Linked DNA regions of Callithrix jacchus. Each later gene encodes a partner of the first gene's protein in a complex. Links are inferred from orthologs where the notes say so. Each region holds a gene or a part of one and is shown on either strand. Other genes may lie near its edges. The genes, in order: AP3D1 and AP3B1.

The links.
Region 2: the proteins of AP3D1 (region 1) and AP3B1 are in contact, whole or in part, in a cryo-EM structure (PDB 9C5C), measured with the Homo sapiens proteins. The link is inferred for Callithrix jacchus from reciprocal best matches to the Homo sapiens genes AP3D1 and AP3B1. Residues at the interface, in NP_003929.4 of Homo sapiens: Lys352, Leu442, Ile446, Ser471, Tyr483, Trp487, Glu491, His517, Ala520, Val521, Gln524, Asn525, Lys528, Val561, Gln562, Ser563, Ala564, Leu566, Glu567, Gln569, Glu570, Arg571, Ser573, Cys574, Gln577, Leu578, His581, Ile582, Leu585, Lys588; in NP_003655.3 of Homo sapiens: Asn75, Lys466, Lys467, Gln470, Val494, Ala497, Ser498, Trp501, Leu531, Leu534, Gln535, Asn538, Lys542, Asn567, Tyr568, Asp569, Asp572, Arg573, Arg575, Phe576, Ile577, Gln579, Leu580, Lys586, Gly588, Ala589, Leu590, Ser591, Tyr593, Lys596.

What each region holds. Positions count from the first base shown.
Region 1 is NC_133523.1:2,028,380-2,032,294, reverse strand, and holds the start of AP3D1 (AP-3 complex subunit delta-1), read left to right. Parts: upstream 1-1,456; 5' UTR 1,457-1,673; coding exon 1,674-1,769; intron 1,770-3,915. UniProt on the Homo sapiens protein: Part of the AP-3 complex, an adaptor-related complex which is not clathrin-associated. The complex is associated with the Golgi region as well as more peripheral structures.
Region 2 is NC_133503.1:132,830,800-132,834,614, reverse strand, and holds part of AP3B1 (AP-3 complex subunit beta-1), read right to left. Parts: intron 2,903-3,815; coding exon 2,807-2,902; intron 2,194-2,806; coding exon 2,033-2,193; intron 295-2,032; coding exon 228-294; intron 1-227. UniProt on the Homo sapiens protein: Subunit of non-clathrin- and clathrin-associated adaptor protein complex 3 (AP-3) that plays a role in protein sorting in the late-Golgi/trans-Golgi network (TGN) and/or endosomes.

The DNA.
Region 1 (3,915 bases):
GTAATCCCAGCACTTTGGGAGGCCGAGGCGGGTGGATCACGAGGTCAAGAGATTGAGACCCTCCTGGTCAACAAGGTGAAACCCCATCTCTACTAAAAATACAAAAAATTAGCTGGGCACGGTGGTGCGTGCGTGTAATTCCAGCTACTTGAGAGGCTGAGGTGGGAGAATTGCCTGAACCCAGGAGGCGGAGGTTGAGGTGAGCCGAGATTGCACCATTGCACTCCAGCCTGGGTAACGAGAGCGAAACTCCGTCTCAAAAAAAAAATGCATGAATACATTCACCAAAGGTATGGAGCCGCCATGCTCAACAATCCCTTTTTTTTTGTTTGTTTGAGAAAGAATCTTGCTCTGTTGCCCAAGCTGGAGTTCAATGGGGCAATCTCGGCTCACTGCAACCTCCATTCCTGGGTTCAAGCGATTCTTCTGCCTCAGCTTCCCCAGTAGCTGGCATTATAGGCACCCACCACCATACCCGACTGATTTTTTTTTTGTTTTTGAGACAGAATCTCGCTCTATTACCCAAGCTGGAGTGCAATGATGTGATATTGGCTCACCACAACCTCCGCCTCCTGGGTTCCGGCAATTCTCCTGCCTCAGCCTCCTGAGTAGCTGGGATTACATGCACGCGCCACCATGCCCGGCTAATTTTTGTATTTTTAGTAGAGACAGGGTTTCACCATGTTGACAGGGATGGTCTCGATCTCATGACCTCGTGATCCACCCACCTTGGCCTCCCAAAGTGCTGGGATTACAGGCGGCTCACGCCACCGCTCCCGGCCTCGAACATTTTTTCATAATCTTAATGATGTATCTTGGAGGGCGAGGACTCAGTACCCCCATTTACTGTTGCATGATTGGCACACAATGGGCCCTCCATAAACGTTTAATGAATGAATGACAGTGTCGAAGTACCGTCCTTGGCCTCATTTTCTTTCTGTGGGCACGTTAATCCCTGCCCTGCTCATTTCACAAGACGTTGTGAGGCTGCGAGAACCACAGGATCCGTTCCCCCCCACCCCGCCCCACCCAGTCGTTGGGTTTGGAGGCTCTCAGGCCGCGTCAGCTTTTACATTCAGGAAAGGCGGAGCTCGAGTCTTCCCCGGGAACTTGCCGGCCAAGCTCCACGTGTGCGCCCCGCCCATACCTGTCAGCTGATGGGAGGGTCAGGACCGGGCTTTAAGGGGCGTGGCTAGAAGGGACAACGAGGAAGAAGGTGGAGTTTCGGAGGCCACTGACCAATGAGAGCTCAGATCTGTGGGCCGGAAGAGGCGGGGACGCACGCCGGAGCCGGTGTTGCCACATTTCCATTGGGCCACCTGTCGTCGTCAGGGAAACGCAGCGTCTCCCCCGCCTTGGCGGGGGCGGGGCGGGGCTTCCAGGGAGGCGGGGCTTCCGGGGCCGACTCGGCTAGGACCGGGCGCTTGTCGTCAGGTGACCTGCCGCCATCTTGTCCGCCATTTGCAAGTGGCCCGGAGCGGGATCACGGCACCTGCTGAGCGGGTCGCCGCCTCTGCCGCGGTCCTCGGACCCCGCCGCCGCCCTGGCCTGGGAGCCTGCCCCGCCGCAGCGGCCGGCTGCGCAGCGCTCCGCGGGCGGCAGGCGCGGGCCCCGGGCCCCCTCACGGCGCCCAACCGCGGGCCTCCCGGGGCACAAGCCCGTGGGCCGCCGCGATGGCCCTCAAGATGGTGAAGGGCAGCATCGACCGCATGTTCGACAAGAACCTGCAGGACTTGGTCCGCGGCATCCGCAACCACAAGGAGGACGAGGTGAGCCCGGCGCGCCAAGGGTTGGCTCGGCCCGGCCCGGCCCCGGCCCCGCTCCCGCTCCCCGGGCCTGCTCGGTCTGCAGCCCGCCCGGGCTCCTAGTTCGAGGCCCCGCTCTGGGCTCCGGCCCTTCCTGCCCCGGGCCTGGAGCGCCGCCCACCTCCTCGGACCCCCGGCCTCAGTTTATCCCCGAGGGGGCGAAGGTCCTGGTCTCGGCGGATGCCCGATGGGGAAGCGCTGCCGGAATGTGACGCTTCGGGCCCCGCCGAGGGGCGCCCTTCCCCCGGGACCCTCATTTCACTCCCTCCGAGGGACTTGCGGGCCCGCCTCCCCCTGGGCTCCAGCGACCCCTCCCAGGAGACCGGCCAGGTGCCTGGGCAGACATTTTCCAGCCCGAGCGTGTTTCGGAATCACCGATTAAAAGTGCGGGGTCCCGGGCCCCGCCCCCGGACCCTCCCTGGGAGACCGAGGCCGGGGGTCCTGGGCCGCCCCTGGAGAAACTCCTTCCTCCCGGGTGCTGTAAATGCACGTCGAGGTCTCTCCCTGGGGCCTGGCTGGGAGTCACCCGGGGCGGGGGGCGGCGGCGGTGGTCCTGGGGCCGTTCCTCCTGGGCCCCTGCTTCGGGGAAGGCGGGGCCGCTGCTGGGAGGGAGGAGGGACCCTGCACCCCAAGCCCCAGGGAGGTGGCAGCCTGGGGGAGCCTGGAATGGGGAAGCTGACTTCAAGCAGGAACCTGAAAGCCAGGGCGAGGAAACCCCTTTTCCAGAAGTCAGATTAGAGCTACGGGGGCATCGTTTCCTTCCCGCCCCTCCCTTCCCCCAACCTGTGACCTAGATCGAAGAAGAACGGGCATAGTGGCCACGTGGCTTCATTGACGGGGGCCCGAGCAGCCCCTGGGCAGTGGAAGCTTTAGAACGTCTCCCACCGAAGCGACTGCCTGCCTCCTTCCCTGCTTGGGCAGCGAGGCGGGTACAGCACCGGCCCCACTACCAGACGCCGTGTGGGGCACGAGGTGCCAGGAAGGCAGGGCCATTGAGAGATTTGCTTGCAGGCACCGAGTCCCTCAGCCCACGCCCCTCTCCCTGGGAACCTGAGCTCTTGCCCTGACCCTAACCCTAACCCTTACACCTTTACGCAGGTGGCAAATGGCGTGGCTTCGCCTGCCCCCGCCTTAATGAGGTCTTTTTTGTTCTCCACCCCCATTGCGTCTCTTCGGCCTCCTGGATTGTCATCTCAGAAGCACTCCCTAACTGCTTTGGTCTCAGTGTGTAACTAACTGGATAATGTTCACATTCTTTGTGATGCTCACCCAACAGAGACGGAAGTCCAGCTCGAAGCTGTTTCCCTGTGCTGGCTTTGAGACAGCACTTTCCCCGCCTCCCCAAATGGAACCTTGAAAGCATCGTCGCTGATGGGCCTGGGTTTTACTGTGCTGAGCTTGGTTCACCAGATTGGAAATGTGACTTGCTTCCTGAGAGGACCTTTTCTGCGTGGACAGAATCTCCCAGCGCCCTCCCTGCCCCCCTTCAGCACATGCCACTGAGCAGCCTGTTCTGGGATCCTGAGGATAGGCCAGGGGGTCTGCCCAGTGGACGACCACACCTTTAGTCAGGGGCGTGGTTTTCAGGGAGGTGTGCCTGTCTTCTGGGTAGTTTCTGAGCCTGGGATTCTTCCTTTGGAATTGGTGTGAGTTGATAGCGCTTTCCCCGCAAGCATGGTCACGTTCGAGGGAGTGTTGCTGTTGGAAAGTCTTTTTTTGAGCCGGAGTCTCCTTCTATCGCCCAGGCTGGAGGGCAGCGGTGCCATCTCGGCTCGCAGCATCCTGCGCCTCCCAGGTTCAAGTGATTCTCCTGCCTCAGCCTTCCGATTGCTGGGACTACAGGCACTCACCAAAACACCTGGCTAATTTTCTGTATTTTTAGTAGCGATGGGGTTTCACCGTGTTAGCCAGGATGGACTCAATCTCCTGACCTTGCGATCCTCCGCCCACCTTGGCCTCCCAATGTGCTGGGATTATGGGTGTGAGCCACTGTGCCTGGCCCTTTTTTTGTTTTTCTGAGACAGAGTTTTGCTCTTGTTGCCCAGGCTAGAGTCAGTGGTGTGATCTCAGCTTACCGCAACCTCTGCTTCCCAGGTTCAAGGGATTCCTG
Region 2 (3,815 bases), on another chromosome or scaffold:
TTCCCAACTTGTCTTTTTTCAGACTCTGATGAAGAAACACCTAAAATCTAAAACTCCAAATGCAATCTTTCTCATTACATGAAAATTTCTGTTCTTCAAAAATAGGCCTGAGTGTCATTAATATTTATACGATTTTGAAATCAATAAAAATAATGATATAAAACATATAATGGTAAATGATACTATGTATCATTTTTACTTCAATGACATAAAAATACATTACTTACTGTGCTTTTATCTTTCAGAAGTTTTTCAATTACTTCAATTAACATTTCCTTCTGCTCTGGATCAAGGCTAAAAAATATAAAAAGAACTTATATTAATTTTTTCCCTTTAATTCTAGCTTTAAATGATGCTCACCATTTCAAGGATGTTTAGAAATTTTTAAAGTGGGAAAAAAGAGCAAGAAATTAAAAGTCAGAAATAAAGAAAAAACAAATTTAATGTAAAATGGGATGGTTTTTCTCATGAATATGCCCTAATCTTTCCCTCTAATACTGCTTATATTAACTAAGCCAGATAGCAACGGTTTAGTTAAGAAAGTACTGAAAGAACAAGTTCACTTCTAAAAGAGTTGGAAAGTAGATAAACCACAAACTCTTTTTTCAACTGGGAGAAAAAAAATAACAAGCCGGCCATCATTAGTTTACTAGGAATATATACTTGCCAAAAACAAATATGGAGAATTTCCAAATAAGAATTTTATATCATACTAATTCTCTGATAGAGACATGCATTATAAAATCTGCCAACTAAAACTATGAAAAATAAGTAACGAGATCAAAACATTTGATATAGAATACTAACAGATTATAAATTCAAGGCAAGAAGAGGCAAACATTGGGGCCTGAACATACTGGAGCCCAGTGATAGAAGGACTTTTAAACCATTACAGTGAGCGTGGATCTTATCCCATAAGTTTAAGGGGAAAAGGTGAGTGAGAAGCATGATAAAACTTTGGCGGTTAACGTAGGAATATGAGATTTCACATTTTACAAACATATGCATTTATTATTAAACATTATAATTATCTGGACAAACTTTAATTATTTCAAATTTTAGCTTAAGTCTTCCTTCTCAAAACAGTATCCCACTACCAATCCCATCTCATTACATCTTTACTATCTGTTAGCACAGTATGATAAGCTTTGGTCCCTGTCCCATCAAAGACATTGCTAGTGTGCCTTTGTATATACATATATATCAAGTGCTAATATCTTATTCAGTTATAGATTGCCTTTAATTATTTGGCATGTCTTTGATTTTCTTACTCAAATACGTGATATGCTATTCATAATTAAGTGCCACATCCCCTACTGTTCTCATACATCTAAATACACATAGCATAATATTGTGAATACAACACTAGAAACAGAGGACAGTCTCAAAAACCTTGAGGAATAAATCGTAGCCAAAAATAATACCAAATTGCTGTAGAAAATTCTACATGGGCAGTAAATTTTCCACAGAGATCAGGGCATTGTATAATACTGCATAACATTTCTAAAATATACAGACAGTATATAGCACTATATTTCAAAATCACTACACTTTTAAAAATTACTTAATAAAAAAGCTCTGGAAAATAATTAGACAAGGAAGGGAGCAGCAGGAACAAAGATGGAAGAAGGGAAAACAAAATAGTGAGTTGAGAGGATCATACACTTAAGAGTCTACCCTAAATAGAAAAAAAAAAATCTCAACTTTCTAATAATACTAGCATATATGTGTACATGAGATAGACTATATAAATGAGAATTCAAATTCTGATTATTTTTATGTTATAAAATCTATAAATTATCACAGGCTCTAACAACCTCACAAATAAAACCTGCATGGGGTCTCTATAACCAAAACAAAATTAAAGATGTGCAAGGAATGTTTGCAGGGGGGAGAATACCATCATAGAGTCATCGGATTTACTTAGTACAAGAACAGGCTAGTTAAAAGAGCTAATAAAATAAGCCTCTGTGGTCTATAATATTCCATGTAACATTAGAGATCTTTGGTATATTGTTAACAATGTACCTACCTGTATAATTTTTGTATTGCATGGGCTGCATTCTTCCTAACATATGGTGATAAGTCAGCAGAAGCTTCCTTAATAGCAAGCATCATGATAGGTACAATAATTGGCACTCTAATACTTGAAAGAACTCTCAAAGCACTTGCACGAATTAGTTGGTTTGGGTCCTAAAAATAGTGCAAAAATATTCACCAGAATTTCAACTATACAGTATTTCAAAGGCATCTTTAAGGCACAGTTAATAGGTGCTTAAAGGGTGTAATATAACAATAGCAAAAGAAAGCTACTTAATTAAAAATGAACAACCAGTATATGAAAATGAGGAAAGACAGAAATAAATAAATGCTTATTTCTTTAAGAATGTTTTAAAGAAAATAAATAGTTATAATTCTAGTTGGTGATTTATTACTAAATATGCTGGGTTTTTATGGTTTCATAATAATAAAATGCTGCAGGTCATCAATTTCATGTTTAAAAATGTCTTATAACCCCCTTTGCACACGTTCAACAACTAGTATAATGATAAACAGCTCTTTGAAGCATAAAAATAATTATATTGAATATAAACAAACATACAGAAGCTGCAACATATACAGCAAGGTTTCAGTTGGTTATATAAACTATTTTCTAAGCATATTGAGTAGGCACTATAGGAGGCTTTTTAACTCTTTCAAGACACTACTGGGCTATTTAGTGGATTACTACTCCACTTCTTTAAATGACACACTTCCAACTCTGCAGAAACCTTGTAGCTATTTGCCTACTCACTCCATTATTTACCTTCAGAGCTCGCTGAAAAGTGCTTATGGACAGGAGTGCAAGATCCTGCTGTTCTTCAGCATATCGAACCAGGTAAACATATACCAACTTCTTGATCTGTTAAAAAAAAATCATTTATTCCTAGCCACAGTGAAAATTTAACACTCAATATTTGCTATACCAAAATCCATGCTCAATTTTTCTCAAGTAAACAACTAAATCTGGTCACATCTTAGATTGCAAAATAAAAATAATATTTTGTGGGATAATAAGTAGCAATAGAAAAAGCTTTTAAAGTAAGCATTTTAATAGTCCTATACACAATAGCAATAGCCTGTCAAAGTGTCCCTTCCTCTTGAAGGGAATTAAAAAAATCCCTGAACAGATATCATGTAAGAATATTAACTACATTGTAAAAATATTTTCAAAATGAAGGATAAAAATAAAATAAAGAAGCCAGGCTTGGTGTGCATGCTTGTAGTCCCAGCTACGCAGAAGGCTGAGGCAGGAGGATCACTTGAGACCAGGAGTCAGAGGCCATCGGGGGCAACATAATAAGACCCTATCTTTTAAAAAAATAATAATAAGAGAAGGAATTTGGGTTCAGGCCACTAACTATATGTTATGGGAACTTGTTTTCTCATCTGTCAAAAGAGTCCAGAGCTCCAACTCTGATTTTTATGGTAATACTCACATTTCAACATGTATTACATGGTATTTTCAGTCCAGTAAGAATAATGTGTGGCTATTAATACCAATTTAACATAAAAAAAATTCAAAAAGATTGAATGTATGGTCTGCAAATGGTTTTTCGTTTTTCTGATTTTTTTTTCTGAGACACGGTCTTGCTTTGTCACACCGGCTGCAGTGCAATAGCACAATCAGGGCTCACTGCAGCCTCAACCTCCTGGGCTCATGTCATCTTCCAACCTCAGCCTCTCCAGTAGCTGGAATTACAGGCATGCACCACCACACCCAGATGTTTTCTTAATATTCTGTAAAGACTGGGTCTCCCTAGGTTGCCTCCCCA